3 linked regions of the Schizosaccharomyces pombe genome follow. Changing the gene in region 3 together with the main gene of any one other region gives a genetic interaction. Each region holds a gene or a part of one and is shown on either strand. Other genes may lie near its edges. The genes, in order: rgf2, rgf1 and rga1.

Evidence for each region.
Region 1: of rga1 (region 3) and rgf2, a mutation in one rescues a mutant of the other (synthetic rescue), as found in Schizosaccharomyces pombe (one study listed by BioGRID).
Region 2: of rga1 (region 3) and rgf1, a mutation in one rescues a mutant of the other (synthetic rescue), as found in Schizosaccharomyces pombe (2 studies listed by BioGRID).

The regions. Positions count from the first base shown.
Region 1 is NC_003424.3:5,078,359-5,086,706, reverse strand, and holds rgf2 (RhoGEF for Rho1 Rgf2), read right to left. Parts: upstream 5,990-8,348; 5' UTR 5,603-5,989; coding exon 3,100-5,602; exon of another isoform or gene 3,098-3,099; intron 3,045-3,097; coding exon 2,623-3,044; intron 2,579-2,622; coding exon 2,027-2,578; 3' UTR 1,652-2,026; downstream 1-1,651. Other genes in the region: translation initiation factor eIF4A Tif1, read right to left, coding at 1-1,144; Golgi alpha-1,6-mannosyltransferase Och1, read left to right, coding at 6,331-7,521. UniProt on the Schizosaccharomyces pombe protein: Stimulates the exchange of Rho1 and Rho5 GDP-bound form into GTP-bound form. Controls septum formation, cell wall synthesis and localization of F-actin patches.
Region 2 is NC_003421.2:1,241,515-1,249,970, reverse strand, and holds rgf1 (RhoGEF family guanine nucleotide exchange factor Rgf1), read right to left. Parts: upstream 4,786-8,456; 5' UTR 4,709-4,785; coding exon 2,027-4,708; intron 1,981-2,026; coding exon 658-1,980; 3' UTR 501-657; downstream 1-500. Other genes in the region: tudor domain and nuclease, Snd1, read left to right, coding at 1-414; RhoGEF for Rho1, Rgf3, read left to right, coding at 6,759-8,456. UniProt on the Schizosaccharomyces pombe protein: Stimulates the exchange of Rho1 and Rho5 GDP-bound form into GTP-bound form. Controls septum formation, cell wall synthesis and localization of F-actin patches. Coordinates actin deposition with cell wall biosynthesis during bipolar growth.
Region 3 is NC_003423.3:4,193,200-4,201,272, reverse strand, and holds rga1 (Rho-type GTPase-activating protein Rga1), read right to left. Parts: upstream 5,227-8,073; 5' UTR 4,979-5,226; coding exon 1,526-4,978; 3' UTR 1,240-1,525; downstream 1-1,239. Other genes in the region: glucosyltransferase Alg6, read left to right, coding at 1-766, 815-938, 997-1,197; U3 snoRNP protein Nop14, read left to right, coding at 7,116-7,265, 7,317-8,073. UniProt on the Schizosaccharomyces pombe protein: GTPase-activating protein for Rho1. Involved in the F-actin patch localization, cell morphogenesis, regulation of septation, and cell wall synthesis.

The sequences.
Region 1 (8,348 bases), on a different chromosome or scaffold from region 3:
CAATGTGTGTATTGTAGAATTGTTCAATCTCACGCATCATGCGAACATCGTCGTTGGTAACAAAGTTAATGGAAACACCCTTACGACCGAAACGACCACCACGACCAATACGGTGAATGTAGTTTTCTCTGTTAGCAGGTAAGTCATAGTTGATAACCAAGGAGACTTGTTGGACATCGATACCACGAGCAAGAAGATCGGTGGTGATAAGAATACGAGAAGAACCAGTACGGAACTCATGCATCAAAGTATCACGTTGAGCTTGGTCCATATCACCGTGCATGGAGGAGACGGTAAAATCACGCTCAGTGAGCTGCTCGGTAAGCCAATCGACCTTTCTACGGGTATTACAGAAAATAACGGCTTGAGTAACAGTGACGGTTTCATAAAGATCGCAAAGAGTGTCAAGCTTCCACTCTTCCTTTTCAACGGCAACATAGAATTGCTTGATACCTTCCAAGGTAAGCTCATCTTTCTTAACAAGGATACGAATGGGATCACGCATAAATTTGGTGGTGACTTCCAAAACATCTTGAGGCATGGTGGCAGAAAGAAGAACAACTTGAGCAGTAGGAGGCAAAAGTTGGAAAATGTCGTAAATTTGGTCCTTGAAACCACGGGACAACATTTCATCAGCCTCATCAAGAACAAACATTTGGACGGCATCGGTAGGAAGAGCACGACGTTGAATCATGTCGTGAACACGACCTGGTGTACCAACAACAACGTGAACACCAGCTTGCAAGGCAGCCATATCATCACGAACAAGAGTACCACCAATACAAGCATGGCATTCAACATTCATGAGATCGCCTAAAGCAACAACAACCTTTTGGATTTGTTGAGCAAGCTCACGGGTAGGAGCAAGGATAAGAGCTTGGCATTGCTTCAAGCTAGTGTCAATCTTCTGCAAAACAGAAATTGAGAAGGTAGCAGTCTTACCAGTACCAGATTGAGCTTGAGCAAGGACATCACGCTCTCCCAAAATGGGCATAATGGCTCTTTGCTGAATGGCAGAAGGACGCTCAAAACCGTAGGCATAAATACCACGGAGAAGCTCAGGCTTCAAATTCATGTCGTCGAAGGTGTCAATAACCTCATCGTAGTTGGTTTCAATAACCGAATCCTCCAGTTGGTCTACCATTTTAGCAATCTTGCTTAGCTAGGTGAGTGGGTTGTGGAAAAAAAGTTGAAGGGTTGTAATAAATATTTTCTCTAACACACAGTCACACACCTGAAAAATTGTAATAATTCCTGATTATTTTAGTACTTTAAATACACAGACTTTTACTGAAAAATCTATTTAAAAAAATTATAAAAACATTTATGTACACACTTTACTTTTAAGATTTTAGATGTCTTCTAAAAAATGATGTAGCAAGAAAAACCCTACTGAACGTGGCGATAAACTCCTGCACACTCTATCGAAGCCTGCGTTAATGCTGTTTAATACAGATAAGCAACTCGTTGCGAAAAAGTGTATTTTACGTGGTAATATTTGGTGAATGCTAAAACATAAAAAATGTTAAGGAGTTTGGAATGCATATAAAAGCATTTTTTATTATTGTAACACTGTTCATGTTATCTTCAATAGTATGAAAAGTTATCGATTACACATGAGTATTTTAAACAATCACAATAAAAGATAATGAATGAATATGCTGAATGCAGAGAGGTTGTTTATTAGTTGACTAAAGAAATGCATAATAAATCTATGGAAAAAGAATGATTCGTAACAAAAACAGCGTGCAATGTTGAGCAAATTGAAAAAGACACAATTCGTTTAATAAAACACACAATCGTCAATAGCATTATCTCAACCATAGTAAATATATGTACGTAGGAATTTTTAAAGTTATTCCTTAAAGAGATGAAGCAGGGTCATAGATTCTTGAAGCTTAGATTGTAATAGCATATATTATAATCAATTGATGTGGCATGCAAAAGATGTCCGGAGTAGTAAATAGTATTCCAAAATGCTCAAGGAGAAGTTCGCACAAATGTTGACAGTACTGTCATAAACGATCTAAAGTGCAGGACCTGCTGCATTTGCTGGAGGAAGTATTAAAGAATGAACTATAGGATTTTCTCCAGATGAAAATGGAATTGGCTCAGTGCTGTAAAGTATTTCACCTCCTTCACTAATTAACCCTCGGCCATCAGTTAAAAGTTTAATGTTTTGTCCCATTATGATTTGAACGAGTTCGGCTGTTTCGGCATTCCTAATTTCAATGAAGTCCGGCTCAAATGCCAGGATATATGGATAACACAAAGCGCAACCTTGAGGTTGGCCCTCCCAATTAATCATCCAGGATTGCCTAGATTTCCAGCCATTCGTATTAACAAAGAATGCAAAATCTGAATAACAGAGGAGAAATTCTCCTCTTAAGCGAAACATGGCAATCGGTCGAATATCTTCCCTCTTTTCTAAAAATCTAAATGAAGTATCAGCAGGATTTAACAAAGATTGGAATACGGCATTTTCCAAACTTATAATATCGAATCCCTTAAAACTTCCCACACAAAGCTTTGTCTTGAGAAAGTGAACGGACAAAGCTTCCATCGGCATTTGTACCTCCTAAAAAAATGTTAGTATAGAGAAAGAACGACGAGGTAACTCACAGTAAATATTTTCAAAGTTGCTTGATTGCCAAAAGGCTTTTTTAGAGACTGGGTCTTTTTGTTCTTCAAGGCACGATCAGCCTCATAAATCCTCAATGTAGTATTTAAAACGGTGGACTTTACCGCACAGACTAAAATTCTTTGCATACAAAAACCTGTTTTGACGAAACTAACATGACCTGTTACACGTCGCAAAGACTTTGAATTAATTTGTTCTACTGAATCAAGAGCGTCCAGAGGTAACTCGTACAAAATCTTCTCGGCTAAAAGCAATAGAACGTTATGTTCCTCAATTACATCTAGTTGAGAGATATTTGGTAATTGCAGCTTGAAAATGGGTTCAAGACAACTGCCATTATTACTTTTTCGAGAAGAGATATATAGTCCCTTGTAAGTTCCAAATAGTAATTTACGGCCCGCATCTAAAGAGCTGTTAACAAACATTTACTTCTTTAACATATTGTTTATTATACTTACCATAGGCAACGGCACATAATAACTTGTTGCCGGTAAACCAGGACTGACAACATATGCCTCGACTTTCAAATACCAAATGACGCTTTCGAATGATATCTTGCTGTTTCTCAATGTGTTGTTTCCATTGGTCTCTAGCAATCAGTGTATTGAGATAAAGACTTATAGAAAAACCACGGGCTCCAATAAATACTAACTGCAAACCGTATGCTTTAACAGGAGGTGGATTACTTTTTGTAATTGAAATTGGATTAGTTAACAAAGCAGAAGATGGTCGACGCGGAAGGCTACCTCTCGATGGCGAGTCTTCGATGTAAGAAATCGACAACAATTCTAAAGGTAATGGCCTGAGATGCAGTTTATGAACTCTTCTTTTCATTTGAATCTTTATCTTACACAACAAGAGAAAATTGTCCAGTAAAAACATGTGAATGTCGTTTTCAGTGTCCCCATTCGAATAACTACTGGCTTTTAGCTTGACGACGCCTTTGAAAATCAATAAGCGAGATGGATCAAACAATGTTAATTTTGCTCGATCCGCAGGGCTGCAGGAAAGCTGTTCGTTTAACTGTAACAACGAGAGTCTATTTTCAGTCTTCCCTGTTTCATAGTTAAGCTTAGTAAGAAATTCACGAATCATTTCGATTACACGAGGAATGTTTTCCGTATCAGGATTATCTTTATCAGTGTACTTAAGAACTCCACTTAATAGTAGCGGATACCTCGCAAGGCGAGTCGTAGGCTTGGTCAAATAACCATTAAGTTCTAGTTTTCTAGACTCTCGTAATCTTTCCACTTCATGAACATAATTCGCAAAATTCCTATTCGTACTTTTTTCACGCTCAAATTCAAACTTGGCAATAGCCTGATTGGCACCATATTTTATAAAAGGCTCAAATTTAGGAACATAATCTAAGAAAAGATCACCAATTGTGTTAACTACAGGTTGCAGAGTTTGAGTACGGTTTAGAGCATTTGACAAACGAGAATTGACAGCATGGATTTGCATGATATTATGAAAAACGCAACGTATAAATTGTTGTCGGTTGTTTTCTGGTATTACATTTGAGGTTGAAAGAGGCTTAATCCAAAAGTCACGTATATACTCTAGGTCTCTGACGAAGTCCCGTTCTGTGTAAATAACCTCAAAAATGATTTCCTGTCTTTTCCATTCACGGACATCGATCTGGTCTACAACTTGCTTAGGAACATTTTCCGACCATAAACGATGATCTTCCTCTTGTTTATCTGTAATCGAAGTTGATCCCCCACTTAATACAGGTTGGACCTTCAAATGGAGACGGGCCTGCTGCTCTAGTCGACGTGGGCAAGATATAGAATAGCAAAGGCGATTACGAGAACATGTAGAGGAGTAGCATTCCGTTAAAAGAGTAAACACTCCATGAGGATTGTATTCGGTTTCAGGAGCTTCAGGCTCCTTAGTAATTGCGCTTAGGGATGAGGTGATGAAAGCTAAAGAATTTACCTGTACAGACGAGGAGATGGTAGGTGTCGTAGAAGAATCAGATAAAACAGAGTCAAATGAATCAGACGTGTTCGCTCTTCTTTTTGTGTAGAGAAAGTTATTTTCGATCGACGATCCATTGGAATCCATCGAGGAGAGACCAGGAGGAGGAGAAATGATACGTCGGTACTGGTAAACTTCCTTGAGCGAGTCGCGAAGTCTATGAGAGTAAGTAACGTCATGAAACATCTTTTGCGAATCCAGGGCTCTTCCTAAAAGTAACGCCAAATTCCTGTCAGTCGTCCGAACTATATGCATCAATACATCGACAGCTTCCGATCCAAGAAAGGCATCTTTATAAAGAAGACCATCCTTCACACGGTCACCGATGTTAAGACGCTTTCGGAACTCAACGGCGACTTGAGAAAGAAAAGCCGGATGTATATAAGGGCGACGAGATGAGGTAGAATTGGAATGCGAAGGGGCGATGTTCGAAATCGCAGATGCAGACTTGGAGCCTGAGTGATGCTTAAGTAAGACGGCAGTTGATCCTTCAGGAAAAGATGGCATGGGTGCATTAACATGGACGCTATTTTTTCGAATGTTAGGATAAGAACTGCCATTAGATACATCAGAGACGGAAAACGACTGGCGAGTATGGGGTCTACCGAGCGATTGTATTTCTTTCCTACTACGTGCATGAGAAATGCCAAAATCATCTGTGGAGGAAGAACGGCGATAAAAATTATTTTTTTTATTAACTTCTAAGCCATCTCCAGGACCCGAATCTTTTCTGGATAGCGAAGAGGGAGAAAAGCTAAGGCTCGATGCAGGACGAAAATGATTGCCATCATTTTCATTAAGGGATGTGGTAGATGATAAAGCGGTAGGAGAATGTGTGATAGAGCCAGAACTCCTTCTTTGGAACAGTTTTTGGCTACTGCTAAATGATGAAAAAATACGAAATCCTTTAGCTGCTTTACCAAACGATTCATGAGACTCAGAGTTTATATTTCCATTCTGAGCTCCATTGCGAAGCATTTTCTTGTTTGTTGATTCTAATTTTACTACCCTCTCGAGGTATCGCAAGTTTTAGAAAAACGGCGCTATGCAAAGGGGCTTTTCTGATACCAATCGTCCGTACCGACACAACAACAGAAAGAGAAGAAAGATATTTTTCAAATTCAAGTAGTACCTTTTTTTTTAACGCTCCAATTACTTTCAACAATAAAAGGTTCTACAAGACAAGTCGTCTTATTTGAACATGGAAACTTCACCAAATTCCTCTTATTATACACGAGAAGCCGGAGTACGTATATTAATGCCAATTCTCCGGCTTTCCAATTATTCAAACAGCTTGGATACTCAAAAGAACGGATTTGAAGTGGATCGCTGCTTACACTTCTATATTATGGGTGGTGCTTTGGGTAACCTTTTTCTGTTATTGTGTACATACACCTAACACACACCGTTAACTACAGCCGACAATACTTGGACTGATATTACGCACGGTACCGCAATCAAGTGTGGCTGTTGCTATTATAGAGTAATATCACATTAAAGCCCTTCGATTTTCGGGTCGCTTGTGCGAAGTTAAAGTAAGAGCATCTGCGCAAACTCAGCCAGAGCGCCCACCTGTGTTTTGCTGCGATTCTATGAAAAACCGCAAAATCTGTATCCTAGCTGCATTAAGTACACATTAATGAGTCTTTGTTAACGAACTAAGTAATTAATTGATACATTGAGCATTAGCATATAACGAGTTCAGCATGTTGAGACTCCGATTGAGAAGTATTGTAATAGGAGCTGCGATAGCGGGATCCATACTGTTGTTATTCAATCATGGTAGCATAGAAGGAATGGAAGATTTGACAGAGATTTCGATGTTGGAGGATTACACTCCGGAAGCCGCTAATAAAGATTATGTTGGTCAACAGGAGGAGGAGGAACTTTTGTATGATCAACCGTCTTACATTGAAGAAGAAGAAGATCCAGATTTGGAAGCTTACTTGAGCGATTTGGAGAGGGAAGAGCTGGAACACAGCTTGGAAGAACTTGATGAAGAAAATAATTATAAACTTCATCTACGGTACTCCTTTTCACAGCTTCAAGATTTTGACGAAGAAAATGAAGCTGTACACATGATCGTTCCTAAAGATACTTATGAATTTGAGGTGCCTTATCACGCTGACATTCCCAAGTTAATATGGCAAACTTCCAAGGACCCTTTTGATAGAGAGGTTATGAAGTACACTCGGTTTTGGAGAATCAACCATCCCAGTTATTCTCATGCTGTTTTAGACGATGAGCAGTCTAAAGCATTGGTCATCAGTAGCTTTGGCGATTCATCAGTTTCCAAGATTTCACAAGCGTATGCAATGATGCCTCTGCCTGTTCTGAAGGCCGATTTCTTTCGGTATCTAGTGTTATTGGCAAAAGGTGGTATTTATAGCGACATTGATACGGCACCATTGAAGCATATAAACAATTGGATCCCTCGTGAATATCGTAAGCGTAATATTCGACTGATCGTTGGCATTGAAGCAGATCCCGACCGCCCTGATTGGAACGACTACTATGCCAGGCGTGTACAATTCTGTCAGTGGACCATAGCTGCTGCACCAGGCCATCCAATTCTTTGGGAACTTGTTCGTAGAATTACCGATGAAACTTGGAAGCTGCATGATTCAAAGAAGCTTTCGAAAAATGGCGAGTCAGTAATGGAGTGGACTGGTCCAGGTATTTGGACCGATGCCATTATGGATTATTTAAATTGGCAGTATGGCCCTTTCTCGGTTGAGAATATCACCAATTTAGAAGAACCTTATCTTGTTGGAGATGTTTTAATCCTACCCATAACTGCATTTAGTCCTGGTGTCGGTCACATGGGTAGCAAGTCTCCAAATGATCCGATGGCGTATGTTCAACATTTCTTTGCCGGTTCATGGAAAGATGATTGATCGTTTGAAATGTGGGTGGGTGGTCATTTCTTGGTATAATGTGCTTAAAGTGTTCGAACCGGGCAATTCGATAATACTAAATACACGCATTTGATCTGGTTTGGAAACTGTTACGGGTTGTGTTCGAGCAATTTTTGTAAATTATAGCTTGCGCAAACAAAAAAGTTTCTTTCGTGGTTGATTTAATCTTTCCCTCATAATTCTACATCTCTTTACGATTAATTTTGCATGTATTTTGTACGTTAGCCAATCAAGTTGGCAATATTGGTGACATTATTGAATTATATGAAGCCAATGCTTATGTCCTGATGATCAACTTTCTTTTTTTTTTTTTTTTCAGCGCTTTCATCAACGCGTTTTATAGCTCAGCACTATAATATTTTCCCTTGTAAACTGTTTTGAATTCTAAAGCTGTTTGTTTCTTTCAATAATTTTATAAAACTTTTGCGCTGATCACAATCAGTCTTTTTCAATTTTTTTCTCTTTTGTGATGGTATATTGACCCCAAAGCGTTTCTGTATACTTAGGTGAATTATCAAAGTAGTACAGAGATTATGCCTAAGATTTGAAGATGAATGATAAACCTGTTTCGGCTTTGTAATTACTTTATGTCTTTAGACTTGCATGAATGCTTCTTGGGATTAAAGGACCTCATATTTCTTCATTAAATTTTTGAGGTTTGTCTCTCTTTCTTTGCAACTACATTTTTTTTCAGAAGGTGACTTTATTTTGCTAGTAGTATTAGCGCTGTATTCTATAATATTTGTTTACTTTGGACCGACAAAGTTCATCACTTTACAGCTTCAACTATACATTATTTTTATTAT
Region 2 (8,456 bases), on a different chromosome or scaffold from region 3:
TTCAAAAACATATCCTCTTTACCAGATACCTATACTAAATTGAAGCCTCAAGCGCAACTTGCTCGTCTCAGTTACGTTCAATTACCTCCTCCCAGCTCTGATTACTATGAAGACGCAAGACTCGTTTTCAGGGAGCTAGCCATGAATAAAGGTCTAGTGGCTAAAGTCGATGGACACGAAGGAAACGTGTATTCTGTAACTTTGTATAATCCTAGTGATGGTTCAGATTTTTCTGACTGTATTAATGCCCAACTGGTTGCGCTCGGCATGGCTAGTGTTATTCCCAAGAAAAAAACATCTCACTTTGAAAAAGATACCGCATCCCTCAATATTCTAGAAGAGCATCAGCAAGAAGCACGTCTAAATCATATCGGTTTCTGGGTATATGGTGATCCCCTAGAATATGAGGACTAAAAATATTTTACTTCTAGTATAGTAACATTGATCATATTCGCTAGTACTTTTTGCCTACAATATATCTAGTTATTCACTTTAAAATATTGTTAACGTATATATTTTAAAAAAATCTTATTTATCATTAAAATTCATGCACCTAAATTATTTTTTTAAAAAAGAAAAGAAAAGATAACCGAACAAACCAATATCCAATTAACCGTTATAAATAAAACGTGAAAATTAAGTTCAAAAAAACCAAAATTACTTGTCTACATGCTGCTCTTTGGCGTGGGCAGCAGCACTCGTCAATCGAAGGGAACAAACAACACTTGTCTCACAATTTTCACCACGTTGATCGCACGCATAAAATATTTCACCACCGTCCCCTAACTTTCCTCTTCCATCAGCAAGCAAACGGATGTTTCTGCCGGAAATGACATGGATCAATTCAGAGGTTTCAACATGTCTGATTTCAATAAAAGTGGGTTCAAAAGCCAATATATAAGGATAACTTAAGGCAAAGTTTTGAGGACTTCCTTCCCAAACAACAAACCATGTAGGACGAGAACGCCATCCATCTCGATTTACGTAAAAAGCAAATTGGGAATAGCATAAAAGAAATTCACCGCCATTCATACGATAGATAGCGATAGGTTTAACATTTTCTTTCTTCTCCACAAATTCAAGAGACGTATCGGCTGGATCCAGTAGAGACTGCGTCTCTAGGTTATCGAGACTGACCACCTCAAAACCTCTCGTACATCCGACACAGAGTTTATTCTTCAGGAAGTGAACCGAAGTTGATTCCGTGGGTATATAAAGCTCTTTGACAATCCTCAATGGGTCTTGGTTAACAGTAAGGAATTTTTTCAAGCTTGGCATGTTCCGTGTTTTAGAGTAATTAGTGACTGGTTCAAAAACCTTTATAGTAGCACTCAAGACGGAACTTTTGACAGCACACACAAGAACTTTACCCAGACAAATTCCTACGCGAAAGAAAGTTGTATGACCAGAAACTTTCCTTGCTTTTTTAGGGGCTTGAGTAGTATCCGCATCAATCATTTCCAAAGGATACGAATATAACACCTTATCGGAAAGCAGTAGCAATAAACTATACTCTTCAATAACCTCAAGCTGTGAAATGTTGGGAATATTTAACGCACGTACAGGCTTGAATTGAAGTGGGCTGTTTGCTTTTCGAAGAGAGACGTACACACCTGTGTCAGTCCCATATAAAAGTCGACGACCACTATCATAAACGCCTATCGCATTTACTTTATTATCACCAACAAAGAAATTAGAGCAAATGGTAACAGACTCAAACCACTGGTTACGATGTTGTAGCAATGTTTGTTGGTTGTCAATATGCTCTAACCACTTATCCCTACTAACTTCAGTGGTTGCATAAAGAGTGATTTCGTACCCTCTACGACCCAAAAGTTGTAAGCTAAATGGATAAAATCTAGAAGGTGGCTTCCCATTCGCTGCTTTTGATACAGCTGCTAGTTGTTGCTTACTTGAATAAGGGATTCTTAATCCATTATCATCAACAAGGAATAGTTGAAGAAGTAATAGAGGAATAGGCTATACTAGTTAGAAAAAACAATTTAAATGAATAGAAAAAACATACTCTTTGAAAAACTTTCAATAATTCACGTTTATTAATAGTCTTTGGTTTTACTATCAACAAAGCATGGTCAAAGAGAAACAAAGTAACATCCGACGCAGACTCTGAAGAAGTGGAACCAGCACTTCTTTTCTTCAAGGGTCCTTTGAATATTAATTGTCTGTTCGCATCAAGCAGATGTAAATCATAATGTTCTCCAGGTTTAAAGACCAGCTGTTGATTCAAATGAAACAAGTTAAACTTATTTTCTGCTTTTCCGCTTTCAACATTAAGACGTGAGAGAAATCCTCTAACGATATTAATGACCTTCGGAATGTCTTGTTTATCAGGGTTACCCTCATCAGTATATTTTAATACCGCTTCTAGAAGTAATGGATAACGAGCCAATCTGGTAGTTGGTTTAGTCAGATAGCCGTTTAGCTCTAGCTTTCGTGATTCTTTCAGACGTTCAACGTCACTGACAAACTTAGCAAATGCAGGATTAGATGACTTTTCCTTCTCAAACTCGTATTTTCCGTAGAGTTGGCCTGCACCATATCGTATGAAAGGCTCAAATTTTGGAACGTGCTCCAAAAATATATCCGCAATATTATCCACAATGGGTTTATAGTTTTGTCTTTTAGTAAGAGCTTCAGCCAATTTAGAATTAACTGCTTGAACCTCTAAAGCATTTAAAAACACAGTACGAATAAATTTTTCTTTTTTTCGTTCAGGTATACAAGATGAAGCCCATAGTGGTTTAATCCAATAATCCCGAAGATATTCCAAATCCTTAACAAAATCTCGCTCAGTATAGATAACCTCACAAATTACTTCTTGACGCTTTCTTTCCCGGTCACTGACACTATAAGCAATCTCCTGGGGTACGCTGTGAATCCACAATTTTTGTTCCTTATCATCAAACGCTAGGGAGGAAGACTGTTCAGTGTTTGCACGCATTTTGGCAAATAGTCTGTGCTGCTGTTCCAATCGTCGAGGACATGAAATAGAATAGCAGGGATGATCTTTTGCACATGTTGGAGAGTAACAATGCGTCAATAAAGTAAATATACCATTTGGAAAAGAAGTGTCACCTAACGTGGACGGTGAGATTCGAGTGCCCGACTCATTGTCCTCCAATTCCTTATGATGGTTTTTGTTGTTAATGGATGCATTATCATTTGCGCGTAAGAAGGGGCGATAACCAGTACCTTGAAGCTGATATATTTCACGATGAGAATCACGAAGACGATGATCATAGGTAACATCATGAATAAATTTTTGTGCATCTAAAGAGCGTCCGACAAGTAAAGCGAGATTTCTATCAGAAGTATGTATAATACCCATTAGCACGGTGACTGCATGATCGCCAGTAAAGGCATTAGAATAAATTAAACCGTCTTTCGTGATATCACCTAGCTGTAGTCTATCTAACAATTCGCTGGCAACACGAGAAAGTAAGGCAGCATATATTCTGCGTCTTCGTTTATTTTTATGAACAGGCGAGCTAGCTTCCGAATTAACAAACGTCGGCGTTGTTGTAGAGCTTCGATCATTAATTAGGGAATTTCCACTTGCACGGGACTTATAAGAGCTCAACGTAAAGGACCTTGCAGTAGGTTCAACACCAAGTCTCTGCTGCTTAACTGCTTCATAATGAGCCAAGGTAGAATGATCAAATGAGCGATTTCGCATATCATGTTCTCTGTCTCGTAATGTGGTAGAGGGACCATGAAAGACATTAGAAAAGACGTCCAACCCAGAAAAAATATTCTTATGGCTGCTAGCAGAAGCTATGCTTAAATGAAGATCCGCGGGATTGCTAGTAGATTTTGGTAGCTGAAGGGACTGGGCAGGTGGAGAAACGTTAGCAGGATATTCACTAACACTACGTATGAGAGGTGCTTGAGCTGCAGGAGTAACAGCATTGGGAAGTGTAAAGGCGGAATTAGAAGAAACAATGGGTGGGTGAGTTCCTGAAGTAAATGAATGAGAACCAACAGTGTGAGAAGAATCATCAGTTGGTAATCGAGAATTTGAAGAGAGAAAGGGATTTTTAGACGAACGAACAGGAGAGCCGTAAGGATAATTTTGATCGAGATGAAGGTTTGTTTCTACGGACTCTGTAACAGAAGAGACTGCTGAAAGGAGGTTCTCATCTACTGAATCCGAAACCGGAGACGTGCTACTCTGAGACTGACGCCGAACGAAAAAAGGATTTTGGTTGGAATCATCACCGGATGATGTGTGCCAAGTCAAAGAAGGGGAATTAGAGTTATTGGGCGCATGATTCGATACCTGAGGAAAATGGGGTGTGGTGTTTAAAGATGCATATAGAGCACCAAAATCATTTCCGTCTTTAAGAGTCAATGGGACGATCTGGTGATTATTTGAAGTACCAAAAACGGAAGGAAAAGATTCACTGTGCTCAATATTTTTCACAGGAGATGCTTCTCTCTGATGAGTTGGAGGTGCAGGAGGTTGAGACGATGGAGGCTGCAAACTCGTGGAACGAAAGGGCAAAGGTTTCCGAGGAAGCCTTCGCGTGGGAGGAGGAAGAGGTTTTTTTGAGACTGGAGCCGGTTCCATGAACGCAGGAGTACTTACAGTTCTCGCCGGCTCCCGTTTTCTTGGAGCACCAAAAATTTCCTCATAAGCACGCGAGCTCTCATTCACACCGAGTGCATTTGGATGCCGGTAATCCATTGCTACTATAAAAACAATCAGTTTGACGATCGAATCGACAATGCTGAATGTTTCCCGTGAAAACGAGGGTTTGGTGGTGGAGAAAAAGACAAGATAATTTGACCACAAACTTTCTGCGAAAGTAGCTACGAACTCGTTATAACGGTAAGATGATGAAAAATTCTAATTTATACGATTTTCTAAATCAAAGACCATTAATATGTAAATTGCGTATTGCTTGATGAATTAATGTTTTGCTTTAGTATATTGCTTTCACCTTCAATTTCTTTTGCATGGAGGGTTTCCACTCGAAACACATGCTAAAAGGCGACATAAAAAAAGGCTTTTGTTAGTGTTTCCAGAGTTGAATGTTTAAAATTTGATTTAAATTATAATAATAAGTTTATATAGCCGTCCTGGTTCGTTCAATGAAACAATTGATTTGTTTACTTGTCTGCTTAGCAATTTGAGAGAGCAACAGGTATATTAAGAAAAGATTATCCTCGAAGGGAAAAATACGTATACTTAATATATCAGAAGAATTGTTACAGCAGCAGTAAACCGCATTAATATTATGAAGGGATGAGAAGCTATAAGTCATCAGTATGCTGTTTTGGGCTAAGTTTATCTACTTCTTCTATAGATAAGGTGATTTCAATGTTGAATATGTAGTAAAAAAGTCTTGAACTCCTTAAAAAAAAAGTACAAATCTGAATTTTCACTAGTCCTAACAAAGTTAATATCAACATTCAACTGCATCCTGGTCGACTTTCCACTAAAAAAAAAAACGCTTATATAAAAAGGGAAGTCATGAATGAACTCCTTTACTTTATATTGCCTATTGCTTTTCTACTTGCTGCAATTTATGTGCTCACTTTTTCTGTCCGACCAGCTCATAATTGTATTACCGATTTACAAATATGAAAAACATCATCTAAAATAATTAGCTTTAATCCGGATAACCTCAATTGATCGATTTCTATGACTATGCTGTATTGACTTATTTTATTTTAATTGCGTTCGCATTGTTTACTATTCAGCTTGTGCTCAACATCATATAAATTGATCAAATATCTTTTTGTACACTTTATTTGCCCTATTTATCGTTTAAATCATGTAATCTAAATTTGGAAAATTTGCTAGTCAAAGACCAATTTTGTTCTTCCGTCGCGAACATACAACCAGCCATTTTCTTATCCACTCCGCTCGCCGTCCACGAAGATCCCTTGGTGGTGGGTTATAAGTTATTTAACATTTACACATATATTTAAAAACCATAAAGTCCTATAATCTTTTCTTAGGCATCGATTTTGATTTATCCCAAACGTTTCATTAGAAGAGGTTGTTTTTTTGATCAAGTCATTACCTTTCATAATATACTGCTTTTGCTTTCTCTCTTTCTCTGTCTATAAACCTACGAAACTTGATTCCTCTGAAACGCTTGGGAGCTTTCTTTCCTTTTTGGGTTGTTTCAATCAGATCATCCTATATTATTCCTTCCGCCCTAACCCTTTTATTGTGGCATCACAAACCGAATAAACAGACTGTTGCATTGATATTGCGATACAATTCTTTCTTTCTTTTTTTCTTTCTTTCTGTATTCGTAATTTTATGTCAAAGTCTTTTATTAATAGAGGACGGGAGTTTCTCTGGTTCATCGCATAACTTTGAAAGCATCAATCGTTTTCATTCCGGCTTACTATAAAATTGCTTTTTTTGAGGGCGTACGAGATTGGTTTGCATTTTTTGAATTCCATTGACACTGAATTTGTTCTATTTTAATTTATTTTCCCTTATTTTATTCCATTTATTAATTTCTCTTCGCATTTCTTTCTTTTTTTTTATACTCTTCTTTCTCAATTCCTTTTTCTATCTTTTTTCACCTCTCTTTTCTCTTTTGTTGCACTGTCCATCCTGCAACATTTAGTTTTGACCTTTCTCTTTCTTGGATTGCAATTGAAATTGACTCCTATTTGGCCTTAGCTTGCCTTGATTCTTCAAATATTATTGTAGTTCTTTTTTGACCTAGTCATTTTTGGTGATTGTGGTTCCCCCTACCACTTTTTCTTTTATGAAGCTCTCCAATGAACTTTTTCATCGGAGCTCGAAAGACCATGGTGGAAAGAGCCGAATTTGTTTAGACTCTTCAGAGGACACTTATCCTCCTCATTCCTCTTCTCCACCATCTTTTCAGAAACGTCTATCGTTTTCCGACTTTTCTACCACCAGACTCTTTTCTCCTCCTTTTCTTTCTAAACGTTCGAATAATTCTCCCCATCGGTTTTCTTATTCGCCTCCTCAACATCCAGCATCCATTAACTCTCGTAGAGTCGCGTCTTACACGGTTCAGTCATCTCCATCAAGAACAACGTATCGACAATTGCCGAATGAACCTCAAAATTCTGCAGCCTATACTACTTACTCTTCATTTCCTAATGCCTTATTTGATGATTTCAGTCCTAACAACCCGCTTGACACGGACCCCTTTTTAACATCTCCTGGAAACAAACAAAATACTGTAGATTCGTTTCGTCCATTACCTGAAACGCCTGTTTCTCCTGGTGGGTCCTTAGTGCATCCTTTACCACGTCCACCCCTTCCTTCTTCTGTTTCTTCGCATTCTTCTCCTTACAGCACCACATCCTCCACTAGTCTTTACTCTCTATACAATGACATATCGTTATCCTGCTCACCAGAGCCATATCTTCCTTTATCACCTACTCGATCACCGGCTCGCACTCCTAGTCCGATTCGTCTTTACTCGAGCGACGCTCTTCGTCCACAGTCGCCTTTAAGCCCTTCCGTCGAATATCTAACACCCCCAAATCCTTATAGTTTAAAATCTGATATTTCCTCTACAAGACAGCTACCAAAGATACCTGTCCAAGACTATGCATCTGGAAAAATTTCTTCTCCTTTGATAACTCGAACTCACAGACGTGCTCAATCGGAAACCCTTTTTAGCAGCTGTAGAGAACCTTGGTTGGTCGGTAAATTATACAAATGGTGCAAAGAAGAAGTGTTTACTGCTCTTGGTGGCCTGGTCCACGAAGGTGTGTCTCGTCGAGAAGTAGCTCAGGTGATGGCTACGCTATTTACTATTCACATTGCATCTATGGAATTTTTGATTGCTGAAATTATCGCGAAAAACATCCTTGGTGATTGGATTAATTACGGTCTTGTGGAAGTCATAAATCTTGAAAAGCTTCAAATTGCTTTCACATCTAATGAACCTCCTTCTGGTAGTGGAGTACTTCCATTTTTGACCAACGGCGGCTGTTACTCTTACATTTGTAGATCCAGATCATGTCCTTCCAAATATCAATGTTATAGCTGTAGATGTGCTCGTAACTCGTCGCTTGAATTCACTTCTCTGCCAGGACAGAGTAGCGATACTTGGAGCATTTTCTGGAACATTTCTTCTCTAAATTCATTACCATCTTCTCTCAGTAAAAGAGAGATTGCTAGGCAAAATAATATCCACGAGCTTATTTGTAAGGAATCTGATTACGTTGCAGACTTAAATACCCTAGCTGAACTGTTTAGGGACGGAATTGTGCAGCAGCAAGATGCGATTGTTCCCAGCAATCGAGTGGCTGACTTTATTCAATCTGTATTTGGAAATGTTGAATCAATCAGACAATTGCATTCTCGACTGTTCTTACCACAATTAATTATGAGGGAACGTCTCCAGGGCCCAGTAGTTTCAATTATTGGTGATATCTTACTAGAGTGGATTCATGCTGCTAAATCCTCTTATATTAATTAT
Region 3 (8,073 bases):
CCCCTTTAATGTTTTACTCCAAATGGTGGTCGCGCCGTATACCTAATTTTGTGGACAGAAATGCTAGCCTAATTATGGTCCTTTTTCAACCTGCTTTACTCTTAATTGATCATGGTCATTTTCAGTACAACTGTGTTATGCTGGGTTTAGTTATGTATGCAATCGCTAATTTGCTTAAAAACCAATATGTAGCTGCTACGTTTTTTTTCTGTTTAGCTCTTACGTTTAAACAGATGGCTCTATATTTTGCTCCTCCTATTTTTTTTTACTTATTGGGAACTTGTGTAAAGCCAAAGATTCGTTTCTCAAGATTTATCTTGTTGTCAGTCACAGTTGTTTTTACGTTTTCCTTAATATTATTTCCATGGATTTACATGGACTATAAAACATTGCTTCCTCAAATTCTTCATCGAGTGTTCCCGTTTGCTCGTGGTCTTTGGGAAGATAAAGTTGCTAATTTCTGGTGCACCCTCAACACTGTTTTCAAAATTAGAGAGGTGTTTACTTTACATCAACTCCAAGTAATTAGCTTGATTTTTACTCTCATTTCTATTCTCCCATCTTGTGTTATATTATTTCTTTATCCTCGTAAACGTCTTTTAGCTCTGGGTTTCGCAAGTGCATCATGGGGGTTTTTTTTGTTCTCTTTCCAAGTTCATGAAAAGTCGGTTCTTCTTCCTTTACTTCCCACTTCTATTCTCTTATGTCACGGAAACATTACAACCAAACCATGGATTGCTCTAGCAAACAATCTTGCTGTTTTCAGGTAAAATATACATATTTACTGTTTAAATTATACTAATATTTTTATTAGCTTATGGCCGTTACTGAAAAAAGATGGTCTTGGTTTACAATACTTCACATTAGTATTAATGTGGAATTGGATTGGTGACATGGTAGTTTTCTCAAAAAACGTCCTTTTTCGGTTCATCCAACTGGTAAGACTATTTTTATTATTTGCTATTTTTTTATGCCAGGTGTATTAACTGGATGCAGTCTTTTTATGTTGGTATGATTGTTATTTTGGGAATTGATCTGTTTATCCCACCACCATCCCGTTACCCCGATTTATGGGTCATTCTTAATGTTACGCTTTCATTTGCCGGATTTTTTACTATTTACTTATGGACTCTTGGTCGCTTGCTACACATTTCAAGTAAACTTTCTACTGATTTGCGTAACAAAAAAGAAGCATAAATTGAACAAAATGATTTTATGTTACATTATTACGCGGAAAAATCAACATATAGTAAAGGATTTTATTAAAACAATTCTGGGAGAAGGATTGTTATTCATGACTTCAAATATTAAACGAAAGTTATATTTGCCTGAAATATTATTTTAGCCAAGTAACCTTTTATTAAAAGAACGATTATTAAAGTACCATCATCCCATCGAATTCAACACGACAAAGTTGTAAGCGGTACCAGACCGAGCTTTCTACTTTCGTAGCTGATCTAATGTTCAGTAAAAATTGAAAATATGATAAAACAAAAAAAGACAAATGGGATTGTGTATCGATAAATTAGGAATCCCTAATGACTGCATGCTGAGGTTTAACTTGAGGTTTAGGCTGAGCATCGCTGTTAGGTGAAGCTTCATCTTTAGTGGTAGATGAAAGCGAATTTGTGTCAGCAACTTCAGAACCAGAAGGCACGTCTGACGTTAAATTAGTTGTAACTCTTCTTATAGGTTGCCTTTTCCTCTTTGTAGACGCCGTATGTTTTGGAGTATTCCGTTCGTCAAGACTCATCTGAGAAATTATTTCTTCACACCTTTTATATAGTTCTTTAGATGTCCAAGCCGCATTATTATAAAAAAGAGTAGGATCATCTAATAAAAGACTAATTTCTCGAGGGACTTCACAAAATTTCTCAAAGTTCTCAATCAACAGATGAACAGCCTCGATGGCAAGGAAACTTTCGTCAACAGGATCGTTGCTTTTGGAATATAATATGTTCGGAGTAATTACGGTAGCAAGATTATGAATATCCATTTTGCTTCCCACCTCATCATCGATGTGGGAAAAAGAGGCAACCCAATATAGAAAGCCAAAAATTACCTCCATAGTGTCTCTATGTCCCTTGGGTAGTAAACATATTGTAAGATGCAAAACCCTCATGCGTTCTTCCTCAGACTCCAACTTTGAAGACGTAATGAACAACCCAAATAACTTGAAAGTTAAAAGAGGATCAGGAAGCTCTCTAAGGAATTTTTTCAATAAAGCAGCCAACTGAATGGGTGTTTCTTGCTCATAATCAATTGAATCCGGAGAAACATCGAGCATGTCAGATAGCTCTTTTAACCTACGTATATTTCCGTTCTTTCTAAATACACCAACTACTGACATATCTTTTCTTTTCATAGCAGCCAATGTATTCCCAATAAAGGCAGGAATATGCTTGACACCCACGCCTGTTCCAACCGTCGACTGAGCGTTATTACGCTCAACAAGAATCTCCAATGGCACCCCAAAGGTACCTTTCTTTTTCACGTTCTTTTTTTCGGCATCTTTCCCCTTGAAAGCCTTTCCAAATTTTTCCCAGAAACCACCTTTGCGCAAATCGCTCATTTCCATCAATTCATCAAGTGAATAATAATCCCGTACAAGAGGGTGCAATATTAATACAGCTACGTGCTTGGTAAATAATAATTCTAAATTAGAAAGATCTGAGAGATAACGAATAGGAGCATCTTCTGATTTAGGAGTCAAACCCTTTTGCGTACCATCATTTTTATCATAAATCGCCCCAGAATTCTTTCGATAGGAAGGATCAGTATAACTGGGCATATGCCTAAATGCATTTGGTCGGTGTTCCCTGTTTCTTTGTTCTGAAATGACTTTAGGAATATCATCAAGAGTAAAAGCACGATTTTCATCAAAGGCATCCATCCTTCTTTCCAAAGGACTAGATGCTTGCTCAACTATGCTTTTTCCAGTAATAGAACCACCATGAGAATGCCAATGGGGACTTTTGTCTTTTCCAGACTCTGACACATTCTTTGATAATTTAGATGTTTCGGTAGAATTGCTTGAGGACTGGGTTTCATTTGAGGTGGCCTTACGATTGCGGGAAGACTTAAGATGTCGCAAATCATTAAGAGTATTGGCATACTTACGAAAACTGTCTGAACTGGCAGTAGTCTCGGCTTGTTTCGCTGTTTCAACAGTACTGGATACATTCTCTTGTTTTGGATCAACAGATAACGGCTTTCGCTGTGATGAGTCGTTATTCTCCATAAGTATAGTATATAATCGAACCAAGGCAATACGTAGCAAGTAAATATATTGAGAAAGCCTGCTCACATACTCAAAAGACGGATGAGGTTCGTCGTTACTAACGTTGGATGATTCAGTATAACATAAATAACATTCTATTTGTTTCGTTTGGTTGTTCCAGCGCGCCCAATCGTAATTCTCCCGATTGTTGTATTTACATTTAGTACATGACAAACAGCCAATATGGCAGCGAATTTCACCCAGGAGAACACAGTCTTCCTCCAAGGCAGAATGACACACATAGCATAAATCGGAGCTGGCATTGGCCAAATTTAAAGGCATATCAAACGAAGAACTATCATATCCTTCTTGATCGACAAATCGAGCTTCTTCTACGGTCTGTAAAAACTGGGGAAGAGCATGCTTACAAGCATGATCTTGTTCTAGTCGTAAACCTCCCGTAAGCGATATCCGAATAAGTAACTTGAGGTAATGAGCTAAACCGGTAAAGAGTGATAAAAAGTCTTGAACAATAGCAACGTCGCGAATATCCGAATTATGGCATTTAGCAAGTAAAGCAAATATTGAAACTAGCTTCTTGCAAAGCAACTTAGCTTCACGAACATAAGGCATACTTTTAGCATGAAAACTTGAAAGTATAGTTTCTAGCGAATCAATGCCTTTAAAAAGTATCTCGATATAACGAATAAATTTTTGGGCACAAATAACACTTTTTGTGAATTCTCCATTTGAAACAAGGAGAAGCATATCACTGATACACGAAGCTGTATACTCCTCAAAATAAGAGAGTGCATGCCAAATATGAAATATTTTCTGTTCTAAATGTTTTTCCCGTTTGCGTAATTGTGATTGAGAAAGCTCAGAATCCTTCTTTTTAGAAGTTTCTATGGATGTCTTTTGACAAAGTTTAACATTCCAAAACTTGTAGATCATATGACAAGGAACGTGCCAATTTTGAGATACCCCATTTCTGTAAACTTCAACAAATTGCCTTAAAATTGGACCATCACAACCGCAACATCGTGCAGCGAAAAGTGTTGAATAATGATAATGACAATACACTTTGCCCTCATATTCATAGTAAGAATCATTCGGACCAAAAACAGTGTAACATAAGGAACAAGTGAAATGTTCTATATGAAATTTTTTATTCAAAGCTGTAATATAATAACCTCGAAGGGCCATTCCACAACTTGCACAAAGTAAGTCAAGCCGCCGAAAATAATCTGTTTCACATAAAGGCACTTGCTTGTTAAGAGTGGGATCATCAATAGGAAAAAATTTTGAAGCAACTAAAGAATTACAATCATGGCATCGAAAACATTCTAAGTGATATATATTTCCAAGAGCACGTACATATTGTCCGGATATAACTTGTCCACATGAAGCACATATCTTTGATGAAGAAACTTTCCTTACAGCCTTAGGAAATACAGAAGTATCTGATCGCTTTAGACTTTGCTGCTCCTCTTTATTAAGCAAACCAGATTGGGCTAATTGTTGCTGATTAGGCAACGCTTTTCGAGACTCAGCAGAGGTATGCCTCCGAGAAAGTGAGCTGCCACCCTCAGTACCAGCAACAGTGCTTGTATGTCGAGAATGGGGGAAATTCTTCGTTGTAGAATTCTCTTCTATCTTATTTTGACGGGAAGGAACAGGAATTCGTTTCGGTGGTGTTGGTGATACACCATTCGTTGTGTACAGCAACCCATCTTTTTTGGCGTCCCTTTGGGACATACTGTCCTTGCTGTTTGAACGAACCTTAGCTTCTATATTAAACGCCTTTATCACTTAATAAACCAGTATGACTAGTTAATCCTCTTTGGGATATTTCCGTTCGAAAATCACCCCCAAGAAAACCTTATGGGACTCAATTCCTTCAGTTTTTAAAAGAGTGAAATTAATAATATGTAAGACCTCAAATAACTAAGCCTATAGCTTTTGAAGCTATTTTTTTTCAGAGACTAACTATTGTTGCGGTATGTTGGTGGTTGTTGGTCCGACTTCCACCTAAGAGGAGACTGCACACCATGGAATCCAAGTCAGAAATGCTAAACTCCAGCTTGATATAGGGGCCAAAATAGACCCTAATTTTTATAGCGACTAAGACATGAAGTCATTTGGGAAACCGATTTCAGTACACACCCCGAAAATGACTTTAGATCTTCGTTTAGAGAATAATCTGTATTTTTGTTTTATCTCTCTTTAATGCTACACTTTATGCTCCTTTTGGATAGTTATTCTTAGGTGTAGGTTTAGGCACTGAATTTTACAACGACTATTATACTAGAGCTGCTCGCTGCTCATGCTAAGGCTTTTACACATTTACGAAGTCTATGTTATAACAAGAGTCCTTATAGATGTTTGAAATTATCATAGACAATATGAGTGACTTTGATTTTAACTACCTGTTCAAGTTTCCCAAAAAGTATTTAAGTACTTTCCCACTGTGTTTCCCAGACTACGTACGTCTTGCAAGTTCAGTAGGGTTGAATTCAGATAAAATAAATGGAGTTTATAAAAACTCAAATCACTTAATACATTATCTTAAAAATACATGCAGAATTTTTTATTTTTATTTCTGACAGTTGCTTCTATACTGAATTATCATAATATAACGATTATTTTTTTATGAGAAAAAGGAAACCAAAGGCATTCGAGCATTTTTGAGTAGTTTCATAACTGCTTTTTGTTTTGCTTAACTTGCATCATTTTGGCTTCTTCACAGACTGAACGCTAAGGTCCTATGTTGTGCTAATTCAGAGTTTACATCTTCTTTTACGACCCTTAGTTGCACAAACTTCCACACAATTGATTCGAATTCTGAATCCTTATTCGATTTGTTGCTTGAAGCTACTTTCGTCTGTAAAAAGTTGTGTATTATTATACTAACAATGGACCTCAAATCCTTTACAGCTTCAAAACTACTATTCGTCACTGAGTCATGAGCAAATTTCGTTAAAAAACTACGGGTATTTATTATCTCAGAAGAAATAGTTTACGAATTCATGAAGTAGATCAGCTTTATGAGTTACCGCGGTTAATAAGTTAAAGGATTAGCACTTAAGAAAAATCAAAGAGAAAATGAGCATTAATTTATGTAAGAAAATAATCAGAAATGATCAATTGTGATGGTTTGAGCAATAACAAGTGAAGGTTGTAAATTCAGTAAACAAACAATAGATATCTGTTCCAAGAGGTTAATCGAAACGGTTACTTACAAAAGATTTGTGGGTAAAGGCCTTTGATAAATGTATTAAAGTCGAATAATCATCATAAGCATTTATATTTCATGTAATGCAACAGAAAATTTTTTTATCTAAAAAATGAGAAGGAAATAAAGAAAAATAAAGAAGAAGCATAGAATGAAATGAACCACACTTTTATTGTTGTTAAATTACTTACAAAGAAAAAATGTCGTGCGCGTTATATATTGCAATCGTTTGTGGACTACTGGAATCCTTTTGAATTAATTCAATTGTAGGCATAACTTTTTTAATGGTTTATATAAATACGTAAAAGTGTTTAAATGAAAGATTGATGATGCTGCTTTTCATGCACCGCGTCGAAACGCCTGACCATTTAACAATCACAAGTCAACAGTATGATTTCAAGAAGCACTTTAACAATTTACCAAAATACTTATTTTAAAATTGAATATAATATTACTGATCTGGAACGTTGCAGGACACTAGGTGGTTGATTTGTTTACAGTTCGTGAACCACCTTTATATAATTATAAAATTTATCCTTTGCCCCAAAATATAATAATGCACAGTTTACAGTATTTTAGTGTGAGTACTCACAATATTAACTTTTTATCATATACCAAACATTTTCTTCCAGAAGGTAATTTCTTCATCAAATTGCTGTTATGGGTAAAAATGGATCACAATTAAAAAATTTGAAATCGAGTATTCGCCAAGCAAACCTTGGTACTCGTCCAAATAATAAAAAGTCGAGAACTAGAAGTACTGAGTCCCATGAAGACCGACAGGCTAAAGTTCAAAAAATTCAATCAGATGTATGTTTTTGTCTTTCCAGCTTATGAGAGCAATAGCTAATTATTTTTAAGTTTAATTTATTTGACAGGCAGTTTACAAAACGGAAATTTGATGTTGGTGGTAGACGTGTAAAGGGAACTGAGGGTAAACCCGGAGTTAGTCGGGGTGTTGGAGAGGAACTTCGAAGGAGAACAATTGGGGCTGAATTGAAAAAGAGGAATCGTTCTGGAGCTATAATCGATCGACGATTTGGTGAGAACAATCCACATTTATCAGTTGAAGAGAAAATGTTAGAACGATTTAGTCGTGAACAACAGCGTCGTAGCAAAAGAGAGCTTTACAATCTAGATGCAGAAGATGTTTTGACTCATGGTAATAGGCCTTTGTCTGATATAGATTCCTTTGAAGAACCTGGATTTGGACTTGATGAAGGAGAGGAGTTAAACGATGAAGTAGTTCGTCGCATGCATTTTGGCGGATTTGAGGATTCTGATGCCGAAAATGAGAAAGAAGGTGAAGGTGCACATAAATCTAAACGTGAAGTGATGTCGGAAATTATTGCCAAGTCCAAGCATTACAAAGCTGAACGTCAAGCAGAGAAAGAAAGATATGAGGACGAAAGAGAAAAACTTGACGAACAGATGGAGGATTTGCAATCCTTTTTGTCGGATTATAAAAAAGCATCTAGGAAGTCCGGCATAAAAACACAACGACCAATAATTTCAGACGGAGATGCACGTTATGATTCATTTGTCCGTGAAATGGTTTTCGACAAACGCGCGCATCCTACTGAGCGTACTAAGACCGAAGAGGAGCTTGCTCAAATTG